Stegostoma tigrinum: one gene and its partners. The protein of the gene in region 1 purifies or fractionates together with the protein of each later gene. This does not show direct contact. Links are inferred from orthologs where the notes say so. Each region holds a gene or a part of one and is shown in the gene's direction. Other genes may lie near its edges. The genes, in order: hsf1, bag3 and hspbp1.

Evidence for each region.
Region 2: the proteins of hsf1 (region 1) and bag3 purify together in Homo sapiens (affinity purification with mass spectrometry; 3 studies listed by BioGRID and IntAct, with this or other methods). This does not show direct contact. The link is inferred for Stegostoma tigrinum from reciprocal best matches to the Homo sapiens genes HSF1 and BAG3.
Region 3: the proteins of hsf1 (region 1) and hspbp1 purify together in Homo sapiens (affinity purification with mass spectrometry; 5 studies listed by BioGRID and IntAct, counting the BioPlex papers as one, with this or other methods). This does not show direct contact. The link is inferred for Stegostoma tigrinum from reciprocal best matches to the Homo sapiens genes HSF1 and HSPBP1.

Annotation. Positions count from the first base shown.
Region 1 is NC_081355.1:158,992,141-159,002,163, forward strand, and holds the start of hsf1 (heat shock factor protein 1), read left to right. Parts: upstream 1-6,139; 5' UTR 6,140-6,411; coding exon 6,412-6,507; intron 6,508-10,023. Other genes in the region: ribosome biogenesis protein bop1, read right to left, coding at 5,703-5,795. UniProt on the Homo sapiens protein: Functions as a stress-inducible and DNA-binding transcription factor that plays a central role in the transcriptional activation of the heat shock response (HSR), leading to the expression of a large class of molecular chaperones, heat shock proteins (HSPs), that protect cells from cellular insult damage.
Region 2 is NC_081373.1:25,966,283-25,976,485, forward strand, and holds the start of bag3 (BAG family molecular chaperone regulator 3), read left to right. Parts: upstream 1-5,806; 5' UTR 5,807-6,128; coding exon 6,129-6,311; intron 6,312-10,203. UniProt on the Homo sapiens protein: Co-chaperone and adapter protein that connects different classes of molecular chaperones including heat shock proteins 70 (HSP70s), e.g. HSPA1A/HSP70 or HSPA8/HSC70, and small heat shock proteins (sHSPs), e.g. HSPB8.
Region 3 is NC_081391.1:14,490,212-14,500,980, forward strand, and holds the start of hspbp1 (hsp70-binding protein 1), read left to right. Parts: upstream 1-6,627; 5' UTR 6,628-6,784; intron 6,785-10,769. UniProt on the Homo sapiens protein: Inhibits HSPA1A chaperone activity by changing the conformation of the ATP-binding domain of HSPA1A and interfering with ATP binding. Interferes with ubiquitination mediated by STUB1 and inhibits chaperone-assisted degradation of immature CFTR.

The DNA of each region.
Region 1 (10,023 bases):
GCGTCTTTGATTACGTTATCTGCTCTCCCGAGGCAGCAGAAGCACAGACAGAGTCAATTGAAGGAAGGCTGGTTTTCATGATGGACTGTGCTGCATTCATAACTCTCTGTAATTTCTTGTCATTTTGGGCAGGGCAATTGCTATACTCAGCTGTGATGCATCTGGATAGGATGCTTTCCATGGTGCATCTACACAAATTGGTAATAGTCATTATGAACATGCCGAATTTCCTTAGTCTTCTGAGGAAGTAGAGGTATTGGTGTGCTTTCTTGGTTGCAGCATTGACACGGATGGGCCAGGATAGATCATTGATATTATCATAGATATTTACTCCTAGGAACTTGAAACTCAGGATGACCTCCACCTCAGCACCACTGATACGTAGAAGACCGTAGAATCCCTAGTGTGGAAACAGGCCCTTCAGCCCAACAAGCCAACACCGACCCTCAGAGCATCCCACCCAGAGCCGTTCCGCTATAACCCACCTCAATCTACACATCCCTCAAGACCACGGGCAATTTAGCATCGCCAAACTACCTAACCTGAACACCTTTGGACCAGGGGAGGAAACCGGAGCACCTGGAGTAAACCCACGCAGACACGGGAAGAATGTGCAAACACCACACAGACAGTTGCCAAAGGGTAGATTTGAACCTGGGTCGCTAGCACTGGAGGCAGCAGTGCTAACTACTGAGCCAAGGAAACTGACCCTTTGGTCCAAATTGTCCATGCTGATCAAGTTTCCCAAACTAAACTATCCGACTTGCCAGCAATTGGCCCTTATCCCACATCTCTCTGCTTCAAATACCTGTTCAAATGCCTTTAACTGTAACTATACCTGCATTTAACATTTCCACTGGCAAATCATTTCACACACGAGCCACCCTTTATGTGAAAAGACTGCCTCTCAGATACCTTTTAAATCATTTTATTTCACTTTAAAATATGGTCCCTAGTTTTAAACTCCCCATCCTAGGGAGAAATACTTTGCTGTTCACCTTATTTATACCCCTCCATGCTTTCGTAAAATCTATAAAGATCACCCTATAAAGGTTCTGATTTTCTCTTCACAGATGCTGCCAGACCTGCTGAGCTTTTCCAGCAATTTCTGATTTTGTTCTTGATTTACAGCATCTACAGCTCTTTCAGTTTTTAAAATGTGAAGTTGTTCAGTTTGGAGTGGAGAACAAAAGAGCAGATCATTTAGATGGAGAACAACTGTGGAAATCTGCAACAGAACAGGACTTGGGGGAATTTGTGCACAAAACAGACAGCTAGCACACAGGTGCAGCAGATAACCACGAAGACTAATGGAATGTTGGCCCTTATTTCAAAGCTGTTGAAATATTAGAGTAGGGGAGTCATACTGCAATTGTACAAGATGCTGATGAGATCACTTCTGGAGTACTCAGAGTAGTTTTGGTCCCTTTATTTGAAAAAGAAGGGTCGTGGAATTCTCTCCCTGATGGAATTGTGGGTCAACCCACAGTGGGAGAACTGCAGTGGCTCAAGAAAATAGCTCACCACCATCTTCTCAAAGGACAGACAATAAATGATGGCCAGCCAGCGTGCCCACATTCCACCAAATGAATAAATCAAAAGGAAAAAAAATGTTCATGAGAGACAATTCAGATGAAGTTCACCAGGATAATCCCTAGTATGGAGGGATTGTCTTATGTGCAAAGGTTAAATAGGTTGGGACTCTACTCACTAGAGTTCAGAAGAATGAGAAGTAATCTCATTGAATCATATTGAATTCTTAAAGGGCCTTACAGGGTGAATACTAGGAGAATGTTTCCCCTCCTGGGAGCGTTTAGGGTCAGAGGGCATCACCCCAGAATAAAGGAGCACTAATTTAACACCGAGATGGGGAGGAACCTCTTCACTCAGAGTTAAAGATCTTTGGAAATTCTTGCAACTGAGAGTTGATGAGGGGAGAGCCCTAGTTTATATGCATGGCCAAAATAGATTTTTGATCAGTCGGAGCAATCTAGGATTACGGGGAAGGAGCAGAAAAACGGATATGATGAATTTTGGATCAGCTAGGATCCTAATCTGCAGTAGGCTTAACCGGCCAAATGGTCTAATCCTGTTTCTATTTCTCATACTCTTACAGAGTAGTGGGACTGGAGTAACTTCTCCTCTCTCAAGCAACAATATTGCACTTGAAACATCTCCAAGATGTTTGATTGAGGAGATGTTGTACTAACATATACAACCTTACCACGCAGCACATGTGTTGTGCCTATCACATGTCCCTGCCTTTATCCTTCAGCGACATAGATTATAAGACCATAAGACATAGGAGTGGAAGTAAGGCTATTCGGCCCATCAAGTCCACTCTTATAGGGAAAGGTAGGTCATGAAGGTTTCCTGCAACATCCAATGACCATATTTGAAGGCAATACCAGACAATCCCAGCATAAATGTGATAATGGGAACTACAGATGCTGGAGAATTCCAAGATAATAAAATGTGAGGCTGGATGAACACAGCAGGCCAAGCAGCATCTCAGGAGCACAAAAGCTGACGTTTCGGGCCTAGACCCTTCATCGGAGAGGGGGATGGGGAGAGGGAACTGGAATAAATAGGGAGAGAGAGGGAGACGGACCGAAGATGGAGAGTAAAGAAGATAGGTGGAGAGAGTATAGGTGGGGAGGTAGGGAAGGGGATAGGTCAGTCCAGGGAAGACGGACAGGTCAAGGAGGTGGGAATGAGGTTAGTAGGTAGATGGGGGTGCGGCTTGGGGTGGGAGGAAGGGATGGGTGAGAGGAAGAACCGGTTAGGGAGGCAGAGACAGGTTGGACTGGTTTTGGGATGCAGTGGGTGGGGGGGGAAGAGCTGGGCTGGTTGTGTGGTGCAGTGGGGGGAGGGGACGAACTGGGCTGGTTCATAAATCTTGGTTTGACAAGCCTTAAGTTTTATTTCTGCAATTTGTTCACTGCAGTAATCATTCTATGAACATATTCATGAGAAGCAGCCAATGTACTTGTTAGAAAAGAACAACAATGCTTATTATGCACAAATAAAAAGGAAACAAAAATACCAACTATATCGTACTGGTCAAAGCCTCGCCATAAACCTTGAAATAAGAGTTCAAACCTTTTTCCCTCTACAATAATCTTAAGAGATACTCACGCTCGAGCAAAGGGTCCCCACTTCAAAATTCATTGTTCGTAGGGAACTATATGTTGATCAGGATCAAAAACAAAGTTGCTGGAAAAGCTCAGCAGGACTGGCAGCATCTGTGAAGGAGAAAACAGAGTTAATCTTTCGGGTCCGGTGACCCTTCCTCAGAATGTCACCAGGCGTGAGACATTAACTCTGTTTTTTCCTTCACAGATGCTGCCAGGCCTGCTGAGCTTTTCCAGCAACTTTGTTTTTGATCCTGATTTACAGCATCCGCAGTTCTTTTGGTTTTTAACTATATGTTGATCTTATATTCCACAAGACAACTGTTTTTCCACAATCTTAAGTGAAAGCTTTTCACTTTTTCACATTTTAAAAAGAAGACATACTCCATTAAAAAAAAACTCCAACCACTTTCCGCATACAAAAAAAAACTCCACTGAAAATAACTCTGGGTGAATAGATTTCTCATTTCAGTCTAAGACGTCTTTTGGACAAGCCGTCTATGGCCCTTCAGCCCACCATGTCCATGCCAGCCAACAAACACCAAACTACACTAATGCCCTTTACTTGCACTTGGTCCGTAGCTTACTGTGCCCCAGCATTTTAAGCATTAATCCAGATGCTTCTTAAATGTTGCATGAGGACCTGCCTCTACCAACCTTTCAGGCAGTGCATCCCACATTTCTGAGATAACAAGGTGTAGAGCTGGATGAACACAGCAGGCCAAGCAGTATCAGAGGAGCAGGAAGGCTGACGTTTCGGGTCTGGACCCTTCTTCACAAATGGGGGAGGGGAAGGGGATTCTGAAATAGAGAGGGGGGGAGGTGGATGAAAGATGGATAAAGGAGCAGATAGGTGGAGAGGAGGCAGATAGGTCAAGAAGGCAGGGATGGAGCGCGTAAAGGCGAGTGTTGGTAGGGGTTGGTCAGTCCAGGGAAGACGAACATTCCATATTTCTACCACTTTCTGGATAAAAGAATTTTCCTTCTAAACCACTCTCTCTGCATATCAAGCTATGCCTCTGGTCTTAAACACATCCTCTCTTACAAGGAAGGAAAAAAAGTCCTATCTTGTCACACCTCATAATTGAGACTCTATATTCCAGACAACATTTTAGGGAAACTGCTCTGCACCCTCACCAGTGCAATCCAGTCGTTCCAACAACGTGACGACCAGAACTGTAAACACTATTCCATTTGTGGCCCAATCAATGTTCATAAAGTTGTAACAAGACTTCCTTGCTCCTATATTCTGTGCCCCGACTAATGAAGGCAAGCATTTCATGTGCCTTCTTCACCTCTGTCTACCCGTATTGACACCTTCAGAGATACCTGGACGTGTATATAAAGGTCCCTTAGTTCCTCAGCAATCCCTTGGCGACTGACTACACATTGTGTATATCATTCCCATATTAGACCTTCCAAAATACATCACTTTGCACTTATCAGGATTTCATTCCATCTCCCACTGCTCTGCCCAATTTACCAGTTAATCAATATTAGACTATAGCCCGAGACCATTCTCCTCACTAACACCATCAGTTTTTATGTCATCTTCAAACTTACTAATTATACCCTTTTTTCCCCAAAGTTGGGGGCTCAATTACTCGGGGTCACAATTTCAAGGTGAGGGGAGAAAAGTTTAAGGGAGATATGCGTGGAAAGTTCATTACGCAGAAGGTGATGGGTGCCTGGAACGTGTTGCCAGCGGAGGTGGTAGAGGCAGGCTCGATAGTGTCATTAAGATGTACTTAGATAGATACATGAATGGGCAGGGAGCAGAGGGATACAGATTCTTGGAAAATAGGCAACAGGTTTAGGTAGAGGATCTGGATCAGTGCAGGCTTGGAGGGCTGAAGGGGCTGTTCCCGTCCTGTAATTTTCTTTGTTCTATAACAAACAGCAAGGGTCCCAGCACCTCCCTCTATGGTATACCACTGGTCACAGGCTTCCAATCACCAAAAAGCCGTCGAACATCACCCTTTGCTTCCTGTTTGTAAACCAATTTTGGATCCAATTTGCTAACTTGCCTTGAATCCCAAGAGCTATAACCTTTTGGACCAGCCTTCCATGTGGGACCATGTGTCCTAAACAGGCACCCGATAATAATTAAACTGCGATGCCTGGTTCTGGAATCACGCAATATTATTGTTCCTTCATCAAATGCTATCAAGCCAAAGGAGATGACAAAAAGCAGTGGAGCCCACAGTAAGAAGCCACATGTTGTACACCTTCACGGGAAGCAATTTTTAAATTACCAGAGTTCAGAGAGAACACGCATGATCCTTTGATCAAAATCTTGAACGACATTAAGGAGCACAGTCTCCTTGTGGTAAAGTGGACTGCAGCAGCAAGTCATCGAATAGGTTTACAAGAAGATAATAGGAGGGAGAGTAGAGAGAAAAAGGAGTGATTTGAAAACTGAATAGGAACTACGGTTTCATCCAGACCCACGTTGGAGGTTTCGAGAACAGCATTTCCGCCCGCCCTCGTTGCCTCGCTTCAAGCGAAAATTACTGACGCACCCAAAACACGAGTTAAAACACCCGCAAAAACAACAGTCAAACAGACCTGGTCCGTTTCATCGAGATCTGGAAGCGACCGCTTATTCCCTGCAGTTTTGCTCCTCCTGTCCCCGGCCACCGACATGCTCTCAGCCGCCATCTTACTGCAGGAGCCGCGCTGCGGGAAAGGTCAGAGGTTAAGTCAACGCATGACGTCACGAGGACACTGGACGGACGTAGCGTTCACGTTGAGGAGGCGGGTAGCGAGTGGAGGTGGGTGTGGGAATGGAAACGGTGATTGGCCCGTTAGCCTGAAGGTTAAAGGTTAAAGATGGATTTTCCACTTTTTTTAAACAAAACGGCCCTTACAAGGTCTAGCAGATAAGTGAGTGGGTTTGTTCTCGATGCGGCAAGGAGGGGAAAATGAAATTTTTCAAACGGTGAGGTAAATGAAGGCCGTGTTTTGCGTAATGGGTGGTTTGAGGGGGGGAGGGGCCCGGAAAGACTGCGTGAGGAAGATGGCGGCGGTTGCTGTGGAGTGTGCCGCTGCTGGATAAGGTGTCGTTTTGGAGATCGCATTTTGTTCAGGAGATTCCTCCGCCCCACTTCGTTCCCTTTCTCTCACTGAGCGGATTAGACCACCTTTCCCTTGCGGTCCAAGCCCGGGTCCTTGAATACTGAGGCCAGCCAGCGGCTTGTGTGCCTGCCCCAGTTTCTCCTCGGCTTAGGGGCCTGAGGTCCGCCGCCTGCACGGTCGGCCCCGGCCGCGTCTCCGGATGGACGCGCACGGCAGCAATGTGCCCGCATTCCTCACCAAACTATGGACTTTAATCGAGGATCCCGACACCAATGACCTGATCTGCTGGAGTGCGGTAAGTAAATCAGAGGCCCAGGAAGCCTTGAGCAAGGCCTCGTTCAAAGAAAACACACGCACAAGGGGGCGTGGGCTTTAAATAAACATAGTCTCTTAAATAGCTTGCTAAAAGGATGACATCCCAACGCCCTGTATCACTTTCTTAAGATTAAAAAGTGTATTATCTGACAAGTTACTTTATTAAGTCGATTTGTGGTTTGAAGTAATATTTAAAAACGCTAGATCATCATTATTTGTCAAAGTGACAGTTTTGTGGGCAAGGTTGTTTGTGTTTACGTTGTTTAAGAGTTGGCTTATTGAAACTATACTCCCATGCTTTAAATATTATTTACCACACTTCATTATGTCTGAATCCACTGCTGAGTGGTAGTGGCCTTTCTGAATTTTGCACTGATACTGTGTTGAATGGCCTACTCCAGTTCTCATCCTTGTTTCCTACTTGTGTAAGCAACTATAAACGTGCAAATAATCAAAGGTTAAATTCAGACAGTGTATTGCAGTGATAGATAGCACTGTAGTTTGCATTATTGCCTCAGCGCCAAGGACCCAGGTTCGATTCCACCCTTGAGTGACTGGAGTTTGTGCATTCTCCACGTGTCTGTATGGATGCTCTGGTTTCCTCCCACGGACCAAAGATATTTAAGCCAGGTGGATTGGCTATGCTAAAAGTTGCCCTGTTATGTCCAAAGATGTGCAGCTTAAGTGGGTTAAAACTCCCTGGTTAAAAACCCCATGTGGGATTACAGGGATAGGGTTGTGGGGTTGGGCCTGGGTGGGATGCTATTCAGAGTTGGTGCAGACTAAATGGCCACTTTCTGCACTATAGGGATTCTGTGATTCTAAGGCAGCAGTGCATTTTCAAAATGAACACAGCAGGCCAAGCAGCATCAGAGGAGCAGGAAGGCTGACGTTTTCAGTTTAGACCCTCTTTCTGAAGAAGGGTCCAGGCCCAAAATATCAGCCTTCCTGCTGCTCTGATGCTGCTTGGCCTGCTGTTTTCATCCAGCTCTACACCTTGTTATCTCAGATCCTCCAGCATCTGCAGTTCCTGCTATCTCTGAAACAATTTTAACCCCACTGCAAAGCCTCTTCTAAAGATGCCTACCCAGAAGGGTTGTTTTTTTCTGAAAAAAGGTCTCGGTCCGAAATGTCAGCCTTCCTGCTCCTCTGCTGTTTGGCCTGCTGTGTTCATCTGGCTCGACACCTTGTTATCTCAGATTCTCCAGCATCTGCAGTTCTGTGTTTTTTCAAAGATCTGTTTACCCTTGGAGCCCACATATTTGGCACACAGATGCTTTTCCATCACAAAATAATGCTGGACTTTGCTGCAAAAAGATGCTCACAACATTTTCAAGGGAATCAATACTGCCGTTTCCAGTGACGCCCATGGAATGATTTATGTAAAAGCCTGATGACCTTGCAATTCCTGATGGACATTGATTTCCTAAAGCCAGTCACCCATCCAGAAGGTGCAAGTCAGGAGTGTGATGGAGTACTCTCCACATCCCTGCACGTGTGCAGCTCTGACAACACTCAAACATAATACTGTCCAGGGCAAAGCAGCCTGCTTGATTGACGCTACATTCTCAAATGTCTACTCCCACCATCACCACTCAGTAATAGCAGTATGTATGATCTACCAGATGCAGTGCAGCAACTCATTAAGCCTCCTTGGAAGTACCTTCCAGACCCATGATCTCCACCACCTCAAAGGACAAGGGCAGCAGATAAATAAGAACTTGCCAGTTCCCTTCCCAAACACTTTTCCTTCACTGAGTCCAAATTTTGGAACTCCTTTCTTAAGTGTTGTGGATGTACCTGGTCCTCAAGGGCTTCATTGAGTCAAGAAAGCAACACTGTGCCACTTCTGAAGGGTCACTGACAAAGGTCAAAAATGTTGACTTTGCCAGCAACTCTCCTTGGAATCAACAAATGACAAAAAGCAATTAGATGCGGGTTGACTTTCTGCCTGAATTGACTCGCTATTTCCAAACTAGGTCATTAGCATCAAGGCAGGGTGTTTACAATTTATAACATTCCCAGAGAATTGGTAATCCTAGCGTGGTAAATGACTACTGCGGAGTCGAAGGAGGTTGACAAGCCAGTGCAACTTGACTTTCTTTTTTGTGTATGTGTATTGTGAACTAATCCAACCTTCTAAAGGTAATATTGAAGAATAATGTACACCTGCGTCAGTAAGGTAGACATTTAGCAGGATACCTGGCTGTTGGTGTCACTTTTTTTGTCATAGCCATAGAGATGTGCAACACAGAAACAGACCCATTGGTCCAACTCATCCATGCCATCCAGATATCCCGAATACATTCAGTCTCATTTGGCCTATTTCACTCTAAACCCTTCCTAATCATACACCAATCCAGATGTCTTTTTAAATGTTGTAATTGTGCCACTCTCCACCACTTCCTCTGGAAGCTCATTCCGTACAAGCCCCACCTTCTGCATGAAAAAGTTGCCCCTTGGGTTCCTTTGAAATCTTTCCACTCTCACCTTAAAGCTAGTTTTGGACTCTCCCACTCAAGGGAAAAGACTTTATCTACTTAGCCCTTCCATCCCCCCCTCATGATTTTATAACCTCTGTTAGGTCACCCCTCAGCCTCCAATTCTCCAGGAAATATAGTCCCAGTCTATTCAGCCTCTCCCTCTAACTCAAACCCTCCAACCTGGCAACATCTTTGTAAATCTTTTCTGAGCCCTTCCTAGTTTCACAACATACTTCCCATAGCAGGGAGTCCAGATTTGCATACAGTATTCCAAAAGTGGCCTAACCAATATTCTGTACAGAGGCAACATGATCTCCCAACTCTTACACTCAATGCACTGACCAAAAAGGCAAGTACACCAAACACCACCTTCACTATCCTACCTATCTGCAACTCCACTTTCAAGGAACTATGAACCTGCACTCCAAGGTCTCTTTGTTCAGCAACACTCCCCAGGACTTTATCATTAAATGTATAAGTCCTGCCTTCACACCTATCTGAATTAAACTCCATCTGCCACTCCTCGGCCCATTGGCCCATCTGATCCTATTGTACTCTTGAGGTAACCTTCTTTGCTGTCCATTACACCTCCAATTTTGGTGTTATCTTCAAACTTACTCCTATATTCACATCCAAATCATTTATAAAAATGATGAAAAGCAGTGGACCTAGCACCAATCCTTGTGGCATACTGCAAGTCACAGGCCTCCAGTCTGAAAATGCAACCATTCACCATGACTGTGTTTCGTCTACCTTCAGGCTAGTTCTATATCCAAACTGGTTCTGTTTTTTTTGCTGATGTTGATACTGTTGCGAGTCACACCCACCCATTCAGTCTGAATTTTGCAAACAAAAAAGGGAGTTGGCACCTGTTGGAGCTTTCAAAGTAAATGATTTGAAGTTGGGAGTTTAGCACAGGCTTTGAGAATTGCAGCTTGATATTAAAGCAGATTTCTGTTGCAATCAATCTGACTAACTGCAGTGGTGAAACAGGGCATTGAGATCTCACAGCA
Region 2 (10,203 bases), on another chromosome or scaffold:
TAAGGATAGATTTTCATCCTATCCAGTTGCACAAAAGAACAGAATTGCATCAGCCATACTTTCTAATGTAATGGAACCTAATAGTGGGAGTCATGCAGGTAGGAGGGTGAGGGCAGGTCAAGTGAAAATCTGCTGACCCCCCACCCCAAACCTAACACATTGTCATCAGCATCAGGCCTAAAAGTTCATGAGAATGAGATTAATAATCTTCCCACCCATCATCTGGGAATGAGTAGCCATCCTATTTGCGCCATGCAATTTCCAGTGAACCAGCGAAGGACTATCTAAAAAGCAGTTACAAGCTCACTTTTCAGTATCTGTGAAAACTTTATTGGCAATACTGAATAATGGCTGTCAGTAGGTATCGTCATGCACAGAGACTGAGATCCTGTTCTGCTAAATTTGCAGGAAGATAACCAGAATGGACAGAATGCCAACATTGACAGAGATGGCTGAGAGGTTAAGTCCCAACTTGAACACCTTAGGATCTGACTCTATTAAAAATTCCTGTCCATCCTCTCCCAACACCCTCACTTCTTTTTGACCTTCAAATTAAATAACAAGGATATATTGCAACAACTCTCTTCCTGATTCCAAAAATGCATAAATCGTTCTTCTTATCTTCACAATCCACACACTTGCCTTTACATTCCTCACCTCTCCATCCAGACTGCATATTTGCCTGGACTGCAGTTTTACCTATCCCCATTTTGTTTTTCAAAGGGCCACTTAGTAATTCCCACCCTCTCTTCCTGCAGCATAAGACAGCATATCAAGTGAAGTTAAGAAGCGAGATGAGAGGATAATTACTTGATATTGGGACCCTCATTCAAAAGGAACAGAAATTTTGCAAACTATTAGCCCAGCATAAAACGTGAGTGCTTTTGGGAAGGAGAGGGTTAACTGAGCAGTGTGTCTATTATTTATAATTCACTTCAACAGTCACATATTCAGCCAGCTTGACAACATCTGGATGCAGTTTAATGACTGTCAACCAAGAATATGCAACCAAGGTATTTGTTGTGCATTTTCTCTTTGATATGGGTCCTTCTTAGCACCTGTACATGATGCAAGAGAGGATGCAAATATTTACTTTAGAATGCACTTTAAGCAGTTCATTCCCAGTATAATTTAGATAAATATGAGATTGTTCAGTATGAAAGCTAAAACAAGAAGGCAGATTGTTACCTGAATGGTTGTAATTTGGGACAGGAGAGTGTGTAATGGGACCTGGATGGCCTTATGCACCAGTCACTGAAGGTAAGCATGCAGGTGCAGCAGGCGGAAAAGATGGGAAATGGTATTTCGGCCGTCATTGCGAGAGGTTTTGAGTACAGGAGCAGGGATGTGTTGTTGCAGTTATGCAGGCCCTTGCTGAGGCCATACCTAGAATATTGTGTGTAGTTTTGGTCTTCTTTTCTGAGGAAGGATGCTGTTCCTCTCGAAGGAGTGCAACAAAGATTTACTAGGCTGATTCTGGGGGTGGCAGGTCTGATGTATGAGTAGAGATTTGCTAGGTTGGGATTGTTTTCACTGGAGTTCAGGTGAATGAGGGGGTGATCTCATAGATGCTTATAAAATTCTGACAGAATTAGACAGGGTAGATGCAAGGAGGATGTTCCTGATGGTGGGTGTGTCTCAGGGGTCAATCTCTGAGGATTCGGGGGGGTTAGACCTTTTACACCATTTAGGATGAGGAGACGTTTCTTCACCCAAAGAGTGGTGAGCCTGTGGAAGTAATTGATGCCAAAACATTGAATGTATTTGAGGGGCAACTAGATATAGCACCTGGGGCAAATGGGATCAAAGGTTATGGGGAGAAAGCAGGATTAGGTTATTGAGTTGAATGATCAGCCACGGTCGTGATGAAAGGCGGTGCAGGCTTGAAGGGCCAAAGGGCTTCTTCCTGCCCCCATCTTCTACATTTCCATGTAACCAGCCCACTCCCCAGCACTCAGTCAAATGTAGGAGCTTATCTGTTAGCTAAGGGTTAATGGGTAAAATTGTAATCTCATGACGCCAAGCAGCAGTGACCACTATTCTAGTTTATCTGAACACTTTGTTAACTAAGGGCTAAAGAGTTGAAATTGTAATCTCATTAACCGCATCTTGTTTGTTCAGTTCTCTGTAAGTCTTATTACTATTTTGTGGCTATGTCACATGCCCATTGCCTGATCCAACTGCCAAACGGAACGATTTGCATCTATCCAGATTTGTATAAATACTGTGTGTGTATTATAACCCTTTCCTCTTCTCAGACTGACAGTTAGGGTATCAATACCTTGCTGTCAGTAGGAAAACCCGCCCTTGTACAAGTAGAAGATATTGTTTGTGAGTTCCAAAAATCTGTCTGTGTGGTCCTCAGAGAACCCAGTCATTTAATCTTTGACATAAAATTGGCAACGAGGGTGCGATGCCAATAGGCTGACAACATCTGCTAGTGAATGAAGTGAACTGTGTGGTCGTCAAAGAGCCCAGTCTTATTATCTTTGACACAAGCACCAGCTCAGAGATTGACACTACATGTGATCTAACCTGTCAGAGTGAGGACGTAAAACAAGTAACAAAATAACTTTGATGACACCCTGGTAAATAGTGACTGCCTAGTTCCAGCAGGTAACAGATCCTGTGGCAGGGGCATGAGGAAATCAGCAATATAGAAGAACTGCTAATCAGATATATCCAAGAAACCAATTTTCAGCCATTACACCCAGTATTCTCGGCGTGGGCTCCTATCAGCAGGCCCCCCTCATTTGCTGTTATCTAAGAGGATCACCTACTGCTCATGTGGTTGCTGCTCTTTTGTATCAGCTCATCCTCCATCCAAATGAAATGGTCCATAATGGAATCCATTTAAAGAAATTTGATCTTACTGGGGCATGGTGCGGGCTTGGGGATAACAGCAATGTCAGAAAGAAGATCGATGGAATTTGAAAATTTCCCTCCAATTTCTTATTTTCAGGGACTTGGAGAGACTGATTCTGGTGCCAAAATGATGTTGAAGTCCGACAAACATTATAGAAATGGACTCATATTTTAATGAGGCTCTCGCCTATCCTGACTCATTGGCTAAAATCTGTGGTTAAAATGGCAAGAATAGAGTGATCCTGCAGTGACAGTACTAATTTGCCGTCCCTGTTCATGCTTCACAGAGAGAACTAAAATTCTATAGGGTACATTAATGAATTAAATATGTTGCAGAACTGAAAAGAGGCTTACTTCAAATTTACATCAACATCCATATAAGCCTATAATTTGTGATTGTATGAAGCATGGCAATTGCTGTAGACCTTAAAGATGGTCTTGCTAAGGGATCTATCAGTCTCTGTGTTTGGACCTTTACCTCTCTGGGCAAGCAATTGGGTGGAATGTTGTGTAATGAGAATTTTCAGCAGGGAACTGCAGAGATGACATCAAGATGCTAAACTGCTCAATCACATTAAAGAATTTTCACAATCAGTAAACCAGGAAGTGGAACATTCTGGTAATCAATTCCCATTAATTAAAATCAGAAGGCAAATAATGATATGAGGTTAATGAAATGAAGATCAAATACAGACATGTAAAATTTAAAAATTGATCATAATGAAGAAATCAAACAACATTGTTATTTTCCCAGGGTGAGTTAGTTATTCAGAAGTAGCTACCATCCTGATTGCCAGTAAGTATCCTCAAAGAACAAGGTCGAATTTATTTTTTTTTCATTCTAATCACTCAGTCCTTTGGAGCAGGTAGATGTAAACCCAGGCCTCCTGAGTCAAAGGTTTGGCCACTACCATTGCATCACAACAGCCCTAAGATATACATAGTTTGGGGTTCATCACCAGCCTTTTTGGGGAAGAAAGGAGTCAATTCTTTTTACATCCATGGATTTCACTGATGCTTGATCTTGCGGTGGGTGAGGATCGAGGAGAAGCATCACGAACGATTCAGTACTTTTGTGTTAATCATCATTTGTACTAATTCCTGTTGGAATTCAGATGCAAAGATGGAAAATCAATGAACACGGATATCTTATCTTCAAAAACCCTTGATCTAACCCTAGACTGAAACCTAGCCTCAAAACATGACCTTAACATAACCCAACCCCATGCCTAACTCTGAGATAATGGGAACTGCAGATGCTGGAGATTCCAAGATAATAAAATGTGAGGCTGGATGAACACAGCAGGCGTCAGCTTTTGTGCTCCTGAGATGCTGCTTGGCCTGCTGTGTTCATCCAGCCTCACATTTTATTACCCATGCCTAACTCTGCTGCCTTTAATTTTGTATCATAGAATTTATCTTCAAGGCTAACAGCTAAGGTGCCCTTTCCTTTCTGCTTTCCTTGACTCTCTTAAAGAGGATCCTTATCAAAACAGTAATACGGTGACTGGTCACCACAATATACATGATTCTATCATCTAGTATAACAGAAGCAAAAACAGAAATAGCTGGAAAAGCTCAGCGGATCTGACCATAGAGAGAAATCAGAGTTAATGTTTCAGATCCAGTGACCCTTCCTCAGAACTGTGAGGAAAAAGTTGTTTTTTTATGCAGAAGATAGGGTGGGGGGAGGTGGTAGGGAGTAAATGATAGGTGGAGATAGAGCCCAAAGAGAGAAGAAGAATTGCACAGACAGAGGAGTGGATAACGGTCAGGCTAGGAAAATGAATACCAACTAATGGAGATTATTATTGGCTAACAATGGGTTGTGCAAAATTGCAGACTATGTGATAACAAGGTCTGGTCTGTGGGGATTGTCTAGGGGCATGGGAGAAGGTACTTCAAGCCCTAAAATTGTTGAACTCGATATTGTGTCTCGAAGGCTGTAGAGTTCCAGCAGGAAATGAGATGCTTTTCTTCCAGCTTGTGCTGAACTTCACTGCAGCACTGTAGCAAGCCTGAGACAGAGATGTTGGCCAGTGAATAAAACGGTGTGCTGAAGTAGCAGGCAACTGGAAGTTCAGGTAGCTGCTGTTTCCACCACCTCCAGTGGGATACCACCACCAAAGACATATTCCTCTCCCCTCCCGTGTTAGCTTTCTGCAAGGACTGTTCCATCCGGGACACTGTGGTCCACTCTTCCTTCACTCCCAACACTCCCCACTGCACCTTCCATACACTTGCCCATTTATTTCCTCCCTCCTCAGTATCCAAAGGCCCAGCCATATCTTCCAGGTGAAGCAGCACTTTACCTGCACTTCACACAATGTAGTCCACTGCATTTCCTGCTCACAATGTGATCTCCTCTGCAATGGGGAAATGGGTGATCACTTTGCAGAACATTTACCTTCTGTCTGCAAAAAAAATCCTGTGCTTTATCCACTTACTGTTTACTCCTTACCCATCTCCTCCACCCTATCCAGCATAAAAACCAACTTTTCTGAGCAACTATCAGTTCTGATGAAGGGTCATCTGACCCCAAAACGTTCACTCTGATTTCTCTCCACAGATGCTGCCAGACCTGCTGAGGTTTTTCAGCAATTTCTATTTTTGTTTCTGATTTCCAGCATCCGCAGTTCTTTCGGTTTTTATAAATCTGGTTTGACAGGTTCGGTCTTTTACATATTAATTAGGCAGCGAATTTAGCACCGCAGCCCGGCTGATGTGATTCAAATGATTGTTTTATTTTGGAAATGCACCTTATATGGCTATACCTCATTCAACCAAAATGAAACTCAACTTTCATGATTTATAATCCTTCGAAAAAGTTTATGCCACTTGCTAAAACTTTGACCATATTAGGGTATAGTGGGATCTGGAGCTGTCTCTTCAACCTAACAATATCTGATGAATTAATCAGGGGTGCCTGAGAATTGATCCGAGCTGGGAGAGACCGTTTCTGGTCAACATATTGAGGCGTCAAGCTGTTTGCCATTTGGAAAGGAGCAGGGGGAGGGAAGCTGAGGAGATTTTGCCAGTAACCCAACCCTGGGTTACTGCAGTTCGTGCACAGCAATGGGTTAGTAATGCGGCTTTATCATCTCGCCCAATCGTCTTCACAGGAGCAGAGAAGCAGCCAGAACATTCGAGCCTCCGATTGCTCACTGCTCCCAGATCAAATTCTAGAGACTTTCCAGTGCAGCCCTCTGCCTGCCCGTGTCACTCTATAAATATTCCAGGGGAAAGGGGAGAGCGGACTAACCATGGCTCAGTTCACCATGCCCGGCTTTACAATGAAGAATTCTCCGAATCAGGCGGCCAGCGGCGGCGATGCCCTGCCCCCGGGCTGGGAGATCAAGATTGACCCTCAGACCGGCTGGCCGTTCTTCGTCGATCACAACAACCGGACGACAACGTGGAGTGACCCGAGACTGGATCTGCCGAAGGTCAGTGCTGTCTGTCCGTCCCCCCCCCCCCCCCGGAGACGGTTTCCGAACACATTCTAACGAGGGGCTGTTTGTTTTTCTCTCTCTCTCTCTGTGTGTGTGTGTGTGTACATGTATGTAGGTGGGGGTAGGGGTGTGTACGTGTTTGACCCTGGAGGGTGTCTGGAGGGAGAGACTGTAGTGTTTTTACAAATGCAGATCAAGCCTTTCTGTCTGTGCAGGGGTGACAGGGGACACTCTCCTCCCCAGCTTCAGTCTTTTGTAACGAACAGCCCGATTAACAAAACAAAATCCCTCCCTGGAGTCGGGATTGTTTGCTGCAAAAAGGTAAATGCTCCATCAGACACCTTTACTCAATCCATGCTCCCCTCCCCCAATCCCCCCCCCCCCCGCTTTTTAATTTTTGTTTTTAAATGAGAGATAAAGCGAAACCAACATTGACAGCAATTTGGCCCCGAACAAAAATGGCATGTTGATGGTGTCAGTGATGAAGATTGGGTTTTGGGATGACGCACTGCAGTCCGATCTGATGAAACATCGCCTGGGTAACCTTTAACTTACGGCCTGGCCAAGGTTTCGAGGAAAGGGGCTACATGTGCAGCGTGATCTGTGCAAACCCTCCCCTCTTGCTGTGCTTCAGTTTCTCGGATCATTCACCCCTCCCCTCCCTCCTCCCAAACAAAATAGCAGGCCCTAAGTTGAAAATCCGAGCAAGATTTGGGTCTATCTGAGTTGATGTCGAACTCGCTCGGTGCCTGCCTGGGCTCAGGCAGGGCCTGGCAGCTGGGCACCTTGTTTAGCTGCCTGAGTCAGTTGTCAGGAGAAGGTTTGGAGACATGAGGGATCTGTGGAGCTGCACAGCTGTCAGCTGTTAAAAACGCTGGTGGTGACACCCAGCACAGCTCGGAGGCACGTAGTGAAGTTTCTACCATGTGAAGTAAGCTACCAGAAACTGCTTTCCTTTTTTTTCCAGTGCACATAGATTTGCTGCTCTTTCCGCATGTACTGCCGCCTTTAAATCCACCTGCAAAATCGGAGACATGAAGCAATGCGTTTCAAGGCAAAAATAACACTGAGCTAATTACAAAGAAAAATGAGGCAACAGATTTTAATTGATGCTGATCTGAAGATCATATGCTGATCCTGTCACACTTATGACCAGGATACATAGCTAGGAAATGTGCATTCCTTGTTTTAACATATATTGTAGCCTAAGAAAAATGGGCAAAGTTGTGAACAGTTGATGGAAGCTAAACAACTATGCTGTCCTAATCTTGTATAAACCAAGTTTTAAAATGAGGTTATTGTACCTAAATGAATTTATGATAACCTAAATGCCGAGACGTGCTTTTTAAAAAGCAAAATTCCAATATTTTGTCCCCTGAAGAATTTTATATTCCCTGGTAATAGGAGGAAGATGGTGCATTCAGAGTTATGAATGCTTTTGTGGCTACAGTAATCAAGCTCTACAGGCAAGGCTAGTTAAACAACCTGAGCTGGTCTGCCTCCTTTTTGCTGGAATCCACTGTATTGGCTCAGAAATGAACAAACTGATCAGCAGCAAGTTCTGGGCACAGGTGTACCTGAGCTCCAACTTTGAACTGATTAGGAGTCATGTGCTGAATCACTGAGCTGTGAGTTTGGAGAATGTTTAACTTCTGAAGCAGTTGAAGCACATATCTATTATTCTTGGCTGACTTTCATATATTGAACTAATCTGAAACTGACATTGAAGTTTGTGCACTTATCCATTTCCCATTTAGTCTCTAACTTCATTGGGAGTGTTAGCTCCAGTGTTGGAGCAACCCCTGTTTCTTTCTTCTCTTTTTTTTTTCCCTTTTCTTTAGTCTAATTCATCTTAAATGTTATAATTCACTTGGATTCACTTGTGGTAATGCTGCAAGTTAATAATCTAATTACTATTTGAGTGTAAACAATTCCAACCCGCTTCACAAATCTATTGAGTTCAAGCCTTTCGAAATTTAGGTGTAAGTGGCTGTTAGGCATCTTTACGGTCAACGATGCCAAGACATTAATGTGACCTACTGCAGGACAGTACAGGACGGAATCTCCCCTATGATTCCTAAATGACTGAGTCATTGCTCTCAGCTTGAAGGGACACTAAAAGGAGACATTTGCTGAGAGGAAGCGAAAATGGAATTGAGTGTACATAGATCACCCTTTTACTCTGGTTTCAACAACCAGCAGGGGTGACTGGGAGCTAGTTTGTCTACCAGTACTGTTGAGAGTGGTGAAAGCAACCCAAAAATATTAAAAGTAAATTTAGAATTAAAACTTCAACCTAGATAACAGCAGCATGTGTGCTAAATAGTGATGTCAACTTAAAAGTGTCCCAAAGTACTTTACAGATAAAGAGTTTTGTAGGTAAAATTATGAGGTCAGACCATAACTCTAGTTAGTGAGATGCGTTTTTTTTGGGACTTTTTAAAGTTGAAGAGAGATGGAAATATTTTGAAAAGGTGTTTTGCACAGCACGACAAGTAAGAAAAAGCTAACATTATTGTTAGTGGAGGGAAGCACACAAACTGAAATTCAGGGACTAGAGGGTGTTGGAAAGAACATTTAGTTTATCACAACTGCAGAAGTTAAGGTGGCATGGGTGCCAAAGGACCAGGGTTTGATCATTCAACTTATTTGTTGTTTCCATCACACTATACACTTAAAACATTGCAGATCAATAACTCGGCTCAATTTATCTGTCATTATTCTATATCTCTTGATATGTTTAACCAACAGATATCTATTGATCTGGATCATGAATATTTCATTTCAGCAACTAAGTATTTTCACATTTCTCTCTTAAATGGGCAAGTTTAAAATTTAAATGATGCTGATTTGTTGTGTATTCCTCCGATTAAAGGAAGTACTATTTTTAAAAATCATTTACGGGATGTGGGCATTGCTGGCTCGGCCAGCATTCCTTGCCTGTCCCTAATTGTCTAGAGGGCAGTTAAGAAACAACAACATTGTCCTGGGTCTGGAGATACATATTGGCCAGAACAAGTAAGAACGGCAGTTCCTCCCTAAGGGTCATTAATGAATCAGATGGCTTTTTCTCAACAATTGACGATGAATTCATGGTCATTGTTAGACTCTTAACTCTAGATTTTTTAAAAAAAATTCAAATTCTGTCAGTTGTCATGATTGGATTCAGACCTGGGTCCCCAGAACTTAATCTGAGTTTACTTTCTCTTATTCTAACTTAACAAAATGAATAATGATTTCAAACCCCTCAATTAGATTGCCATTAGCCATGTAAAATCAAGAGATACAAGCCAAGTTTATAAAACCTGGTTCCATAATTAACCCTCTAGAATTGGTATGAAAGTGAACTCTGCATTTGCTGGAAAGCGAATGATATACTCCAGTTGGGGTCTGACTAACTGAATGTCCTTCAGCTCATTAGTTTACGCAATATTAGCCCAGCTGAGTAAGCCTTTGAGAGATTTGTAGAGAAAGACAAAACTTGTAACATTATTGCATTGGACACAAGGAGACAATTGACTTTACTTAGGACTGTTTGACAAATTGGAATCAGAACTACCTCAGATTAATCAAAAAAGTTGTTTCCAGCATAATGTTACTTGTATTTTCACAATAATTTTACATGGGATGTGAGCATCAGTGGCAAGCATTTGCTGCACATCCAAATTTGAGAAGGTGGTGGTAAGCTGTCCTCTTAAAGCACTGCAGTTCCCCTGTCGGAGATGTACTTCAGTCCTGTCAGGAAGAGAGTTCTAGGATTTGACCCTGAAACAGTGAATGAGTGAGGATACTGTTAAGTCAAGACGATTCATATTTTGGATGGGAATTGCACTTGGTGACCTTCCAATGCATCTGCTATTCTTGTCATTCTCAGTGGTAGATAATG
Region 3 (10,769 bases), on another chromosome or scaffold:
AGAGGTTACACTGTCCAGGGCATGCTTTCGGCAAGATCGATCATTATTTGAGGCTAGACAGTCCATTCATCAGTATGATAATGGCTGGGAAGAAGCTGTTCCTGAACCTGCTTGTGCATTGATCAGGCTTTGTTATCTTCTGCCTGACGGAAGAGGTTGTAGGAGATCGTTACCAGAGTGTGATTGGTCTTTGATGTTGGCAGAAAGCTGTGTAAGTGTAGTCTATAGATGGAAGGTTGTCTTCCATGATAGTCTGGGCTGTGCACACCACCTTCTGTAGATTCCTGCGGTAACAGGCAGTGCAGTTGTTACGCCAGGCCATTTTGCACCCAGACGGTGTTTTCAGTGGTGCATCTGTAGAAGTTGGTGAGGTTCCTTATGGACATGCCAACTTTCCTGAGCCGCCCTGTTTCAGTGCATTAAATTCCATGCAGTCACTTGTTTGGGAGAAGTGGTCATTTTTTTCTCACCAGCAAAGCTGCTACTCGGGGGTGGTGGTGGGATAAAAACTCCATCCTCGGTTAGTTAACTGACCAGGGGGCAGTAATGTCCAAGCCAAATGTCAGTCTTTGCTTCATCTTGGATTGCAAGAGAGCATGACATGATAGAGCTTGCGGGAGGAGGGGTAAGGAGTGTGGCGAGGAAGAGAAAGTTGAGCAGGAGTTCACATCTCATTGATATAAATGGATACAAAAGAATAGACAAACTTTCTGTTGGTTGGGCTAGGATCTAAAAATTCAAGCTGGATGTTTTGCGGTGAAATTAGGAAACATTTCTGACTTCAAAGTACGCAGACATTTTTCTGCAAACTGTACTTAATGCTAAACCAAAAGCAAGATACTGCAGAAGACGGAAATCAAAATTGCCTCCAAATGAAAGGTGTAAACATGGATACCCACACAGGCCCTGGTTCTACCTGTCTTTTTGAAGGGGTCTCCCTTCCACAATTCTCCCCACTATAGTTGATGGTCAATGCTTCGTGGTCTCATCTGAAACAGGAAAAATAAAATGCATTCTGCTTCCAATTTCTATCTTTCTCACCTTTATGCGGTCCATCTCTTATTTTTCCCTAATTTCTGTTATCTCCATTTGCCAGGAAAGGTTGTCTGCTCGTATTTATTATAAGTTCCCAACTCCAACAATTGCATTCACTACACCTCCTCTCACAGTGCTACATGTGAGCATCCCTGCTTTAGTTTCTCCATCGCATCTGTGCCAATGATGTCACCTCCCACAATAGTGCTTCCAATATGTACTCGTTTTTCCTCAGCCAAGGATTCCTCCATTGCCCTCTCTTTCACACCCCCCCCCCCAAACTCTGGTGGACAGGTCCCTCAACAATGTTCACTGCACTTACTGCATTTTTACCCTCACCCCTTACTCTCCTTCTCAGAAGTGGGAGTAAGGTTTCTCTTGTCCATTCAACTTTGTTCGCACCAACCTTTGCATTCAAAAAGATCATTCTTCACCATTTCTACCACTAAACTCATCTTCCTCCCCGCTCCCCACTCAGCATCTGAAGAAGTTTCTCCCACCCTGGTATCCTGGTCCATTATTCCCAATACCTCATTTCCTTCTCACGATACCTCATGCAATTATGGGGACGTGTAAAATTTTCTTCGCAATCCAAGACTCCAACCACAACTTCCAGATGAGGCGGTCTTTAGCTTGCACTTCTAGTTTACTGTATTCACCAATCATCATGTGGCCCCTTCAATATTGTAAAGAGGCAACACAGACGGCACAACAGCCTAGCAGAAAACCACTGCTTGGTCTGCAAGCATGACCTTGACCTTCTGGCCATTTCCCGTTTCAATAAACTTGGTCTTTAATATATATATTATACATATATATGTCCCGGGGCTACTGCAGAGCTCCCCAATATAAGCTGCAGCAACAGCATGTCACTTTCTGTTTACACATCTTACAGCCTTCAGGATGCAACATTGGATTCAGACAGTGACTGTTCCCCACCCCTGCCATTCTCTGGTTTTCTTGGTTTTGCTTTTTTCAGCAGCAGTCACATATATCCTATCATTAAAAACCTACTCTGGATCTTCTCTACAACCGTTATCACTCCCACAGTGATAGCTAATCTCATATACTCAAAATCTTCCCCTGATTGTTCCTTTTCCACTGGCTGTTTCTCCCTTCTCAAAACATTAATTCTGTGATGATCATAGAACCCATACAGTGTGGAAACAGGGCAATTGGCCCTACACATCTACACCAACTCAGCTACCCTGTAACCCTACATTTCTCATGGCTAGACTGCCTAATCCACACATCCCTGGACACTATGGGGCAATTTAGCATGGCCAATCCACCTAACCTGCACATCTTTGGACTGTGGGAGGAAACCAGAGCAAATGGTAGAAATCCATATAGACACAGGGAGAAAGGCAACTGTCTGTGTGGAGTTTGCACAGAGGCTGGAATTGAACGCAGGTCTCTGGTGCTGTGTGGCAGCAGTGTTAATCACAGCCACTGTGCTGATGATGCTAGCTCATAGCAGTTTTGAGGAAAGCGGACAGTTGAGAATTATTTTCGCTCTGAAGCTCGAGAGAGTCTGGAACTCACTGTGTGAAAGGGTAGTTGATCCAGGTACTCCTGTAACTTTTAAGCAGTATTTATTCATTAACTGTTCATAATCACTCTCATCTAGAAGGGCAAAGGCAGCAGACACATGGGAGTACCATCACTGACAAGTTCCCCTCCAAGCTACTCACCATCCTGACTTGGAACGTTATCGCTGTTCCCGTCTGTCTTGCTGGAGCTCTTGCAGCTTTAACTGTGCGATTACCTTAGGAACACAGGAATAGGCCATTTGGCCCCTCAAGCCTGTTCTATCATTCAACGAGATTATCCTTCATTTATCCCTCCCCCTTGGTCTATAGAAATGCTTCCTAACATCTCTCCTGAGTGGTCTGACCCGCCATCTCAGCTTATGTACCGTAGTTTTAAAGCCCTGACCCTGTGTAAACATCATATCTTTATCTACCCTGTCTTTTCCTGTGGGTATCTTGAAGATTTTGATTAGATCACCCCTTAACAGTTTAAATTCTAGACAAAACAGAGTTAATTTGTAAAACGTCTCCTTGTTGCTTAAACCCTGAAGTCCGGGTATCATTCATGTAAATCTTACACTCCCTCCAAGGCCATTATATCCTTCCTACAATGTGGTGCCTAGATCTGTTCAGAGTACTCCAAGTGCGGTCTAATCAGACTTTGGTTTGACTTCAGCATAAATTCTGCATCCTCAAACTCCTGTACTCCAGACATAAATGTCAGCATTCCTGTTGCTTTTTTGATTATTTTCTGCACCTGTTCAAGATATGCACCTGAGCACCCCCCCCCCCCCCCCCCCCCGGTCTCTTTGGACATCCACTGTAGTTAATTTCATACAGTCTAGAAAGTACCCTGATCCATCTATGGGTGGCATGGCTATACAATGGTTAGTACCACTACCTCACAGCACCAGGGATCCTGGTTTGATTCCAGCTTCAGGTGACTGTCTGTGTGGAGTTTGCGTATTCTGTCCTTGTCTGCGTGGGTTTCCACTGGGTGCTCCAGTTTCTTCTCACAGTCCAAAGATGTGCAGGTTAGGGTGGATTGGCTGTGCTAAATAGCTCGTGGTGTCCAGGACGACACAGTATGGAGCTGGAGGAAAACAGCAGGTCAGGCAGCATCAGAAGAGCAGGAAAGTTGATGTTTTGGGTGTGGACCCTTCTTCAGAACTGGGGAGTGGGAAGGAAGCTGGGAAATACATAGAGGGAGGAGGGTTGGGGCTGGGGAAAGGTAGGTGGGATGGTGATAGGTGAATGCAGGTAGGGAGTAGTGGGGTTTGGTCAGTGAGGTGGGTAGGGTGGATAGATGGGAGAGAAGATGGACAGGTTATTGTCAAGTCAAGGAGGCAGGAGGGAGGATAGGTAGGGCTGGGGAAGGTAGGTGGGGTGGTGATAGGTGGATGCAGATGGGGGTAGTGGGGATTGGTTGGTGGGAAGTGTAGGGAGAATGGGTGGGCAGGTTGTATCAGGTCCATGGAGGTGGGGATGAGAGGGGAGGGTTGGACATGGGATGAGGCCAGGGTAGGGGAGATTTTAAAACTGGTGAATTCCATGTCTAAGCCATTAGGCTGTAGGCTTCTGATGTGGAATATGAGGTGCTGCTCCACCAGTTTCCGGGTGGCGTCATTGTGACATTGGAGGAGGCCCAGGATGGACATGTGATCGAGGGAGTGGGAGGGGGACTTAAAATGGTTCATGACTGGAAGGTTTTATCATTTGTCACGTACAGAGTGCAGGTACTCCTCGAGTCTGCGCTTGGCCTCACTGATGTAGAGGAGGCTACATCGGGAACATCAGATACAGTAGACCAAGTTGGAGGATGTACAGGTGAACCCCTATTGGATATGAAAAGTTTGCTTTGGGTCTTGGATGGAGGTGAGGGGGGAGGTTTAGAGGCAGGTGTAGCACTTCCTGTAGTAGCAGGGAAAGATGGTGGGGCTAATGGGGAGTTTGGAGTGGATGAGGGAGTTGCAGAATGAGCAGTCTCTACTAAGGGCACAAGATATGGGGAGGGAAATATCTCTTTGGTCTTGGAATCGAATTGTAGGTGGCAGAAGTTGTGGGGAATGATGCTTTGCATGCAAAGGTTGGTGGGGTGATGTGTGAGGAACAGAAGGATGCTGTCTTTATTTTGTTGGGAGGAGGGGGTTTGAGGGCAGAAGTGTGGGAATGGCAAGAGATGTGGTTGAGGGCATTTTTGATCACTGGAAAGGGCAAGTTGCTGTCCTTGAAGTAGAAGGACATCTGAGATGTCCAGGAGAGGAACGTCGCATCTTGAGAGCAGATGCGGCAGAGACGGAGGAATTGGGAGTATGGGATCGCAATATTGCGGGGGGGAAGGGGTTGGTGAGAGGAGGTGCAGTCCTGGTAGCTATGGAGTTGATGGGTTTGAAATAGATGTCAGTGTTGAGGCGGTTACCAGAGGTGGAAATGGAGAGGTCCAGGAAGCGGATGGAGGTAACAGAGATGGTTTAAGTGAATTTGAGGTTGGCTGGAAGGTGTTAGCAAAGTTGATGAGCTGTTCAAGCTCTTAGTGGAACACTATCTGCATAGTGTCTGGGAATGTGTAGGCTAGATGGGTTAGCCATGCTAAATTTGGGATTATGGGGTGGGGGGGGGTGTTCTGGCTGGAATATTGTTTGGAGGGTTGGTGCAGATTTGATGGGCTGAAATGGACTTGATTTTCTGCACAGTGGGGATTCTACGTTTCTATCCCTTTTTGGTCAAAAATGGATAACCCTACTCTTATAATGAACTCCATCCGCCACAGTTTATCAATATTCCTTTGTAATTTAATGCTGTTGTCTATGCTGTCCACAATGCCACCTAGTTTGTGTCATCATCAAATTTGGATATGACTTTCAATGCTATTGTTTAAGTCATTAATAAATAATGTAAATAATCGAGGCCTAAACATAGGTCCTTCTGGGACATCACTGGTTAAATGCTGTCAAATTGAGTGTCTACGCATAACCTCTACATTTTGTCACCTGCCACTCAGCCAATTTCCTGGCCATATCAGTAATTTGACCTCCGTTCCCTAAGCTTCTTCCTCTTCACCTCCTCCACCATGCTATAACATGCCTTCTCCACACAGATTGCAGAGTTTCCAGAAAACAATTCATCATATCTCTTTTATGACTATTTACAGATGGGCAATAAATGCTGGTTTGGCCAGCAACACCCACACACTGTTAATGAATAAGCAAAAAAAAGGTTTAATTACTTGGCAAAGATCATGACACATAGCACCAGAAGCAGAACATTTGCTTCTTCTCTGTTGCACCATTCAATAAGATTGTAATTGATCTGATAATCCTCAAGTCTACTTTCCTGCCCTATTTCGTAACCCTTGATTCCCCTTCTGCCCCCTCAGCTTTGAACATACCAACCCAACATCAACAGTCCTCTGCGGGAATTAAAATACTGTCTGACAGAAGAAATTCCTCATCTCTGTATTCAATGGAAGATCTCTTACTCTTGCCTTTGGTCCTGACTGTCACACAAGGGGAAACAACCTCTCAACACATACCCTGTCAAATCACCTCAGAATCTTATGTTTTTCATTAAGGTTTTTGTCATTGTTCTGAAGTCCAATAGGTACAGTCCCAACACAATCTCTTCTCATAATATCAGTTATCAACTTTGTTTGTATGGCGAGAAAGTAAAATATTTAGATGAGCACACAGGCTAAGTGCAGCAAAATAGGATTAGAATAGGTAGATATGATGAGTTCATGGCCTTTATTTGAGTTGTTAAAAACTCCATTGCTTTGTAATTTGGAGCATCAAAGTCCAGTGTCTCCCTATTGTTTATAATAAAAATAACTGATGATTTGAAACAAAAACAGAAACTGTTGAAGAAACACCATTTCTGGCACCATTTGTGGACAGAAAACAAGGCTTTACGTTTTAGTTTCATTGAACCTCCCTGCCTCTGGCTTCAGTGAGATAAAGGCCTGAGGGGGCTGGTGGGTTTCAAAGATGGCGGCGCTCAGATGGCAACACACGCAGCCAGTTGCCCCGCAGTGGCGTCACGTCCGGCACCCTGACGCCACAAGGCAACCGTGGCGCAACGTCCGGCAAGATGGTGGCGCCCATGGGCTGAATGCGCTGGAAGAATCTGGAAAGGTGGAGAAGCTTCGGTGCGGTCGGCAGCGGCAGGAGGTGGCTGCACGGCCGGGAAGGTGACCGGGCCAAGAGGTCGTGGAGATCGGGGTAAGTGACCTCTCCCTGTCCGGTAACAGTGCATTGAAACGGGATTGGGAGCCTGTGGAGGTTTAAGGGAGAGCAGGATGTGGGGTGTGCGACCATTTCGAGGCGTCTTGTTGACTTGGGGGGGACGGTGGGTGAGGAAACGATTCCTCTCAGTATGGGCCTGGTTTTTGGAGCGGAGCAGAGCGCCATTTCTGCGGCGAACCCCTCCCCCCTTTCCCTGGGGATGGTTTCTGACCGAAACCTCAACTCCGTCTCTTTCCCCACAGATGACACCAGCCCTGCTGAGCTTTTCCAGTTTCGGGCTCTCAGCGTCCGCAGTCCGTTATTTCAGGCACAGTGCGTCTCCACACTGACCTCGTTGATCAGGAGCATCAAAGCAGCACGTTGCTGTCTCTGCATTGAGGATCGTTCTTATTGAATCCGAATGGGTTTCGTTTTGGCAAGGAGGGTGATATGTAACATTTGGAAGCCTTGTTGAGGCCATACATGTAATGTGAACACGGGTGGTCCATAAGGCAGTCGTCTTTCCTAAGGACGGAGAGGTATTCTTAATCTGTTCAGACATGATATAACCCCTCTGGAGGAGTGGGAGTTGATCCTGGGCTTCAAGAGCATTTTCCTCCTTATCCCCACGGAGGGATATATTTTACAGCTTTTTGTAGCTTTTAGGCTATAAACTGAAGTCGGGAAAAGGGACCTTGTGCTCACAGGCATATCATCCACAATCTTGCTGAATGGCAGTGCAGGTTTGAGAGGCTACTTTTCTTTCTTAGGCAGCTGTCCCATTCCTAGTGGCTGTGTATAGCAAGTGGCTGAGAAATGTACACTTGTGCGATAGTCGTAGTGTCCCTGTGGACCAGGAGGCATGGTTCAACACTCGTTTGCTTTAGAAGTGTGTAATAACATCTCTGAACAGGTTGATTTGAAATTATATAACAATTGTTTGCGGTTGGTCTGAACAGATGACTTTTTTTCTGAAATCGAAATAGTTTTTTTACCCTAATATTCTGGTTGGGTTCTACCCTTGAGATGCTAAAGACCCAGGCAAAACAGATGAAACTCATGATGAATTTGTACAAGGGATTCAGAGAGGCAGGTTCAATGTTGAATGAATAATTGGAACTGAACTGGGAAGAACCAATAGAACAAATTCTGAGAAACAGGGGCCTTGCATTTAAAATTGAAGGATGTTCTGTTTTAAAGTGTTTAAGATGTTAAAAATAATTAGGATCGATAGAGAGCAGCTGTCTTTGGGGGAAAACAGGGACAAAGCTCAGTGGTTGTGTATTTTTTGCCTTGTGGGCCAAATTTCCTTGTGAAATCACGGTCTGTGCTTCCACCAATCTCATAGGCAGTGAGTTCCACATCATTACCCCTCAAAACAGAAAAAATAGTTTATTTCTCAAATTTACTTTGCATCGCTTACCTGAAACCTTTAATTGGTGCCCCTTCATCTTTATAAAATCAGCTGATGAGAACAGCTCCTCTTTTTCCACCTTACTTGTTATAATTTTGTACTCTTTCATCAAAATTTTCCTTGATTATCTTTGATAGTTTGTTTAGCTTAGGCGTATGGCCCAAAAAGCTACTAAAATCATTTCAATTCCTCCATTAGAGCAAATCTTTATTTGATGTTTTCTGTAGCTTGGGTAGCCCTGAGTTATGTCTTGCCTCTTGAAGATGCATTTTTAACTGCCAGGATTCTATGCGTATGTCAAAATGTGGAAACAAAATGTAGGCACATAGTATTTTTTAAAAAAATATTTTGTAGGATGTGTGTGTTGCTGGCAAGGCCATCACTTATTGCCCATTCTGAATTTCATTTGAGTTCGTGCTGGTGAGCGGCTGCCTTAAATTGCTGTAATCCACTTGGTATTGGGAAGGGAATTCCAGGATATTGAACCAGCCACAGTGAAAGAATGCAGATATGATTCCAAGTCAGGACAGTGTGTGGCTTAAAATGAGCTTGCAGGTGGTGGTGCTCCTTTGCCTCAGCTGCCTTTGTCATGCAAGGTGCTGGGGATTGTGGTTTAGGTGGGTGATGCCGAAGGTACCAAAATGAGTAGCTGTATCATCTTGTAGGAGGTGAGTGGTTACACTAGTGGATGGGGCACCACCATCTGGTCGATGATGATCTTTTCAAGTGTAATTGGAATTGCATTTGTGTTTGAAAGAATAGAATAGACCTTTCTGTCACATATACTCAACATGGAGAGTGAAAAATTTATACATTGCCAATTACAGCACTGACTTAGATACAAAAGTACCTTGTAACAAAAAAACTGTGCCAAGATTTTAGATAATACTGAAAAGAGTTCAGTACAGCAGACCACACTGGCACTTAGCTTCCAGTATGCACTGGGCTCTGGCTCCACACTGCGCTGGCGACACGCTGCATTGGGAAGTCGCAGCAGGAGGCCCCACAGGACAAGACTGCTGTGCCAGGCTGGGAGTTTGCTATGCTGCATGAGCTCGAAACATTGCAGTGCCAGGCGGCGAGGTCCCTATGTTAGGAGGTCACCATGCTATGCCAGGGGGCCCATACAGGAGGAAGTTACCTCGCCAGTGCTGGGAGTTTGCCAGGCTGGGGAATGTCGCTCCTTGCAGACGCCAGGAGTCAAAGCAAAAAAAAAAGAAGAAAAGAAGCACTAGGAGGAGAAAAGAAGAGCAGGTGGAGTGGACGAGCATCCTACTTTGCCATCTTGCAACAGCAAAAAAAAGTGGACAGTATTCTGTCACACTCCAGGTGGTGCACAGATTTTGAGGAGTTGAGAGATGCGTTATTTACCTTTGAATCTTTAGCTGCTGGGTTGCTGTTGTGGCCACAGTATTTGAATGGCTGGTCCAATTCAGTCTCTGATCAGAGGTTAATACCCCACATCACCCTGCCCTCTCTTGACTGGTGTGCAGTATGAATGTTGACGACATGGGATACAGCAATGAGAGTGCCATTGAATAGGAGATGGTTAGACTCCTTATTAATGATCATTACCTGGCACTTCTTTGTATGAGGAGATTGTGATGTTGCAAATGCAGGTGATACATATAAAGCTTTTCTCCTTCATGTTTACTGACTGACCTGCTGTGTGTTTTGTCTTGCACGTGTGAAGTGAGCCTGAATGTTTGCATATCTGGGCATAGGAATAAGATCAGACGAGACCGCGAGGTCTATCTACAGTCACTGTGTCCACATGACAGTACAGCTCTTGCCTCCCTGTAGTCAACAATTCTGAGACAATTCATGTACAACAGTATCCTTTCGGGAAAGAACTCTTGCATGATCTGGCTGAGATGTGACCCCGAATCTACAACACTTCTAAGACTGAGATTAGGAGAAATATTTTTCTCTGAGCGCCATTAATGTAGAACTCCCTTCCCCTAGAGGTCGTATAGGCTGGGACTTTGAATTTATTCAAAGCAAAGTCAGTTAAATTTTAGATGGACAAGCAAGTCGCGGATTATGCAGGGCAGACAGGAAAGTGGAATTGAGACCACAACCTTGTGAGCCATGGTCATTTAAAATATGCAGCAGGATCAAAAGGCTAAACAGCCCACACCTGCTCCTGATCCTGTTTTCCTATTTTGCTGACTCTTAGCTCTGAAACAACCAAGCAATTCTTTTACTCAAGGGCAGTTAGATATGGTAATAAATGCTGGCCTTGCTAGTAACACCAGGTCTTGTGAAGAATAAAGAGGATAAACCCCTTTTCGATGACACTGGTACCTTCTGTCTCAACGGAGTGGTGGAAAGAATTGGGGTGTTTTCCTCACATTCCCTGCTTGAATGAAAGAACAAGTGAAATATTTCCAAATTCTAGCACCCTTGATAAAATATCAGAAAATGGTGGAAATACTCAGCCAGCCTGGCAGCATCTGTGAAAAGAGAAGCCGAGTTATGAGTTCAAGCAAATGAACTTTTATTAGAGGCATAACCAGTTTTGGTAAGCACAGGCAGAAAAAGTGGGCTGGAGGAGAGAAAACGAAC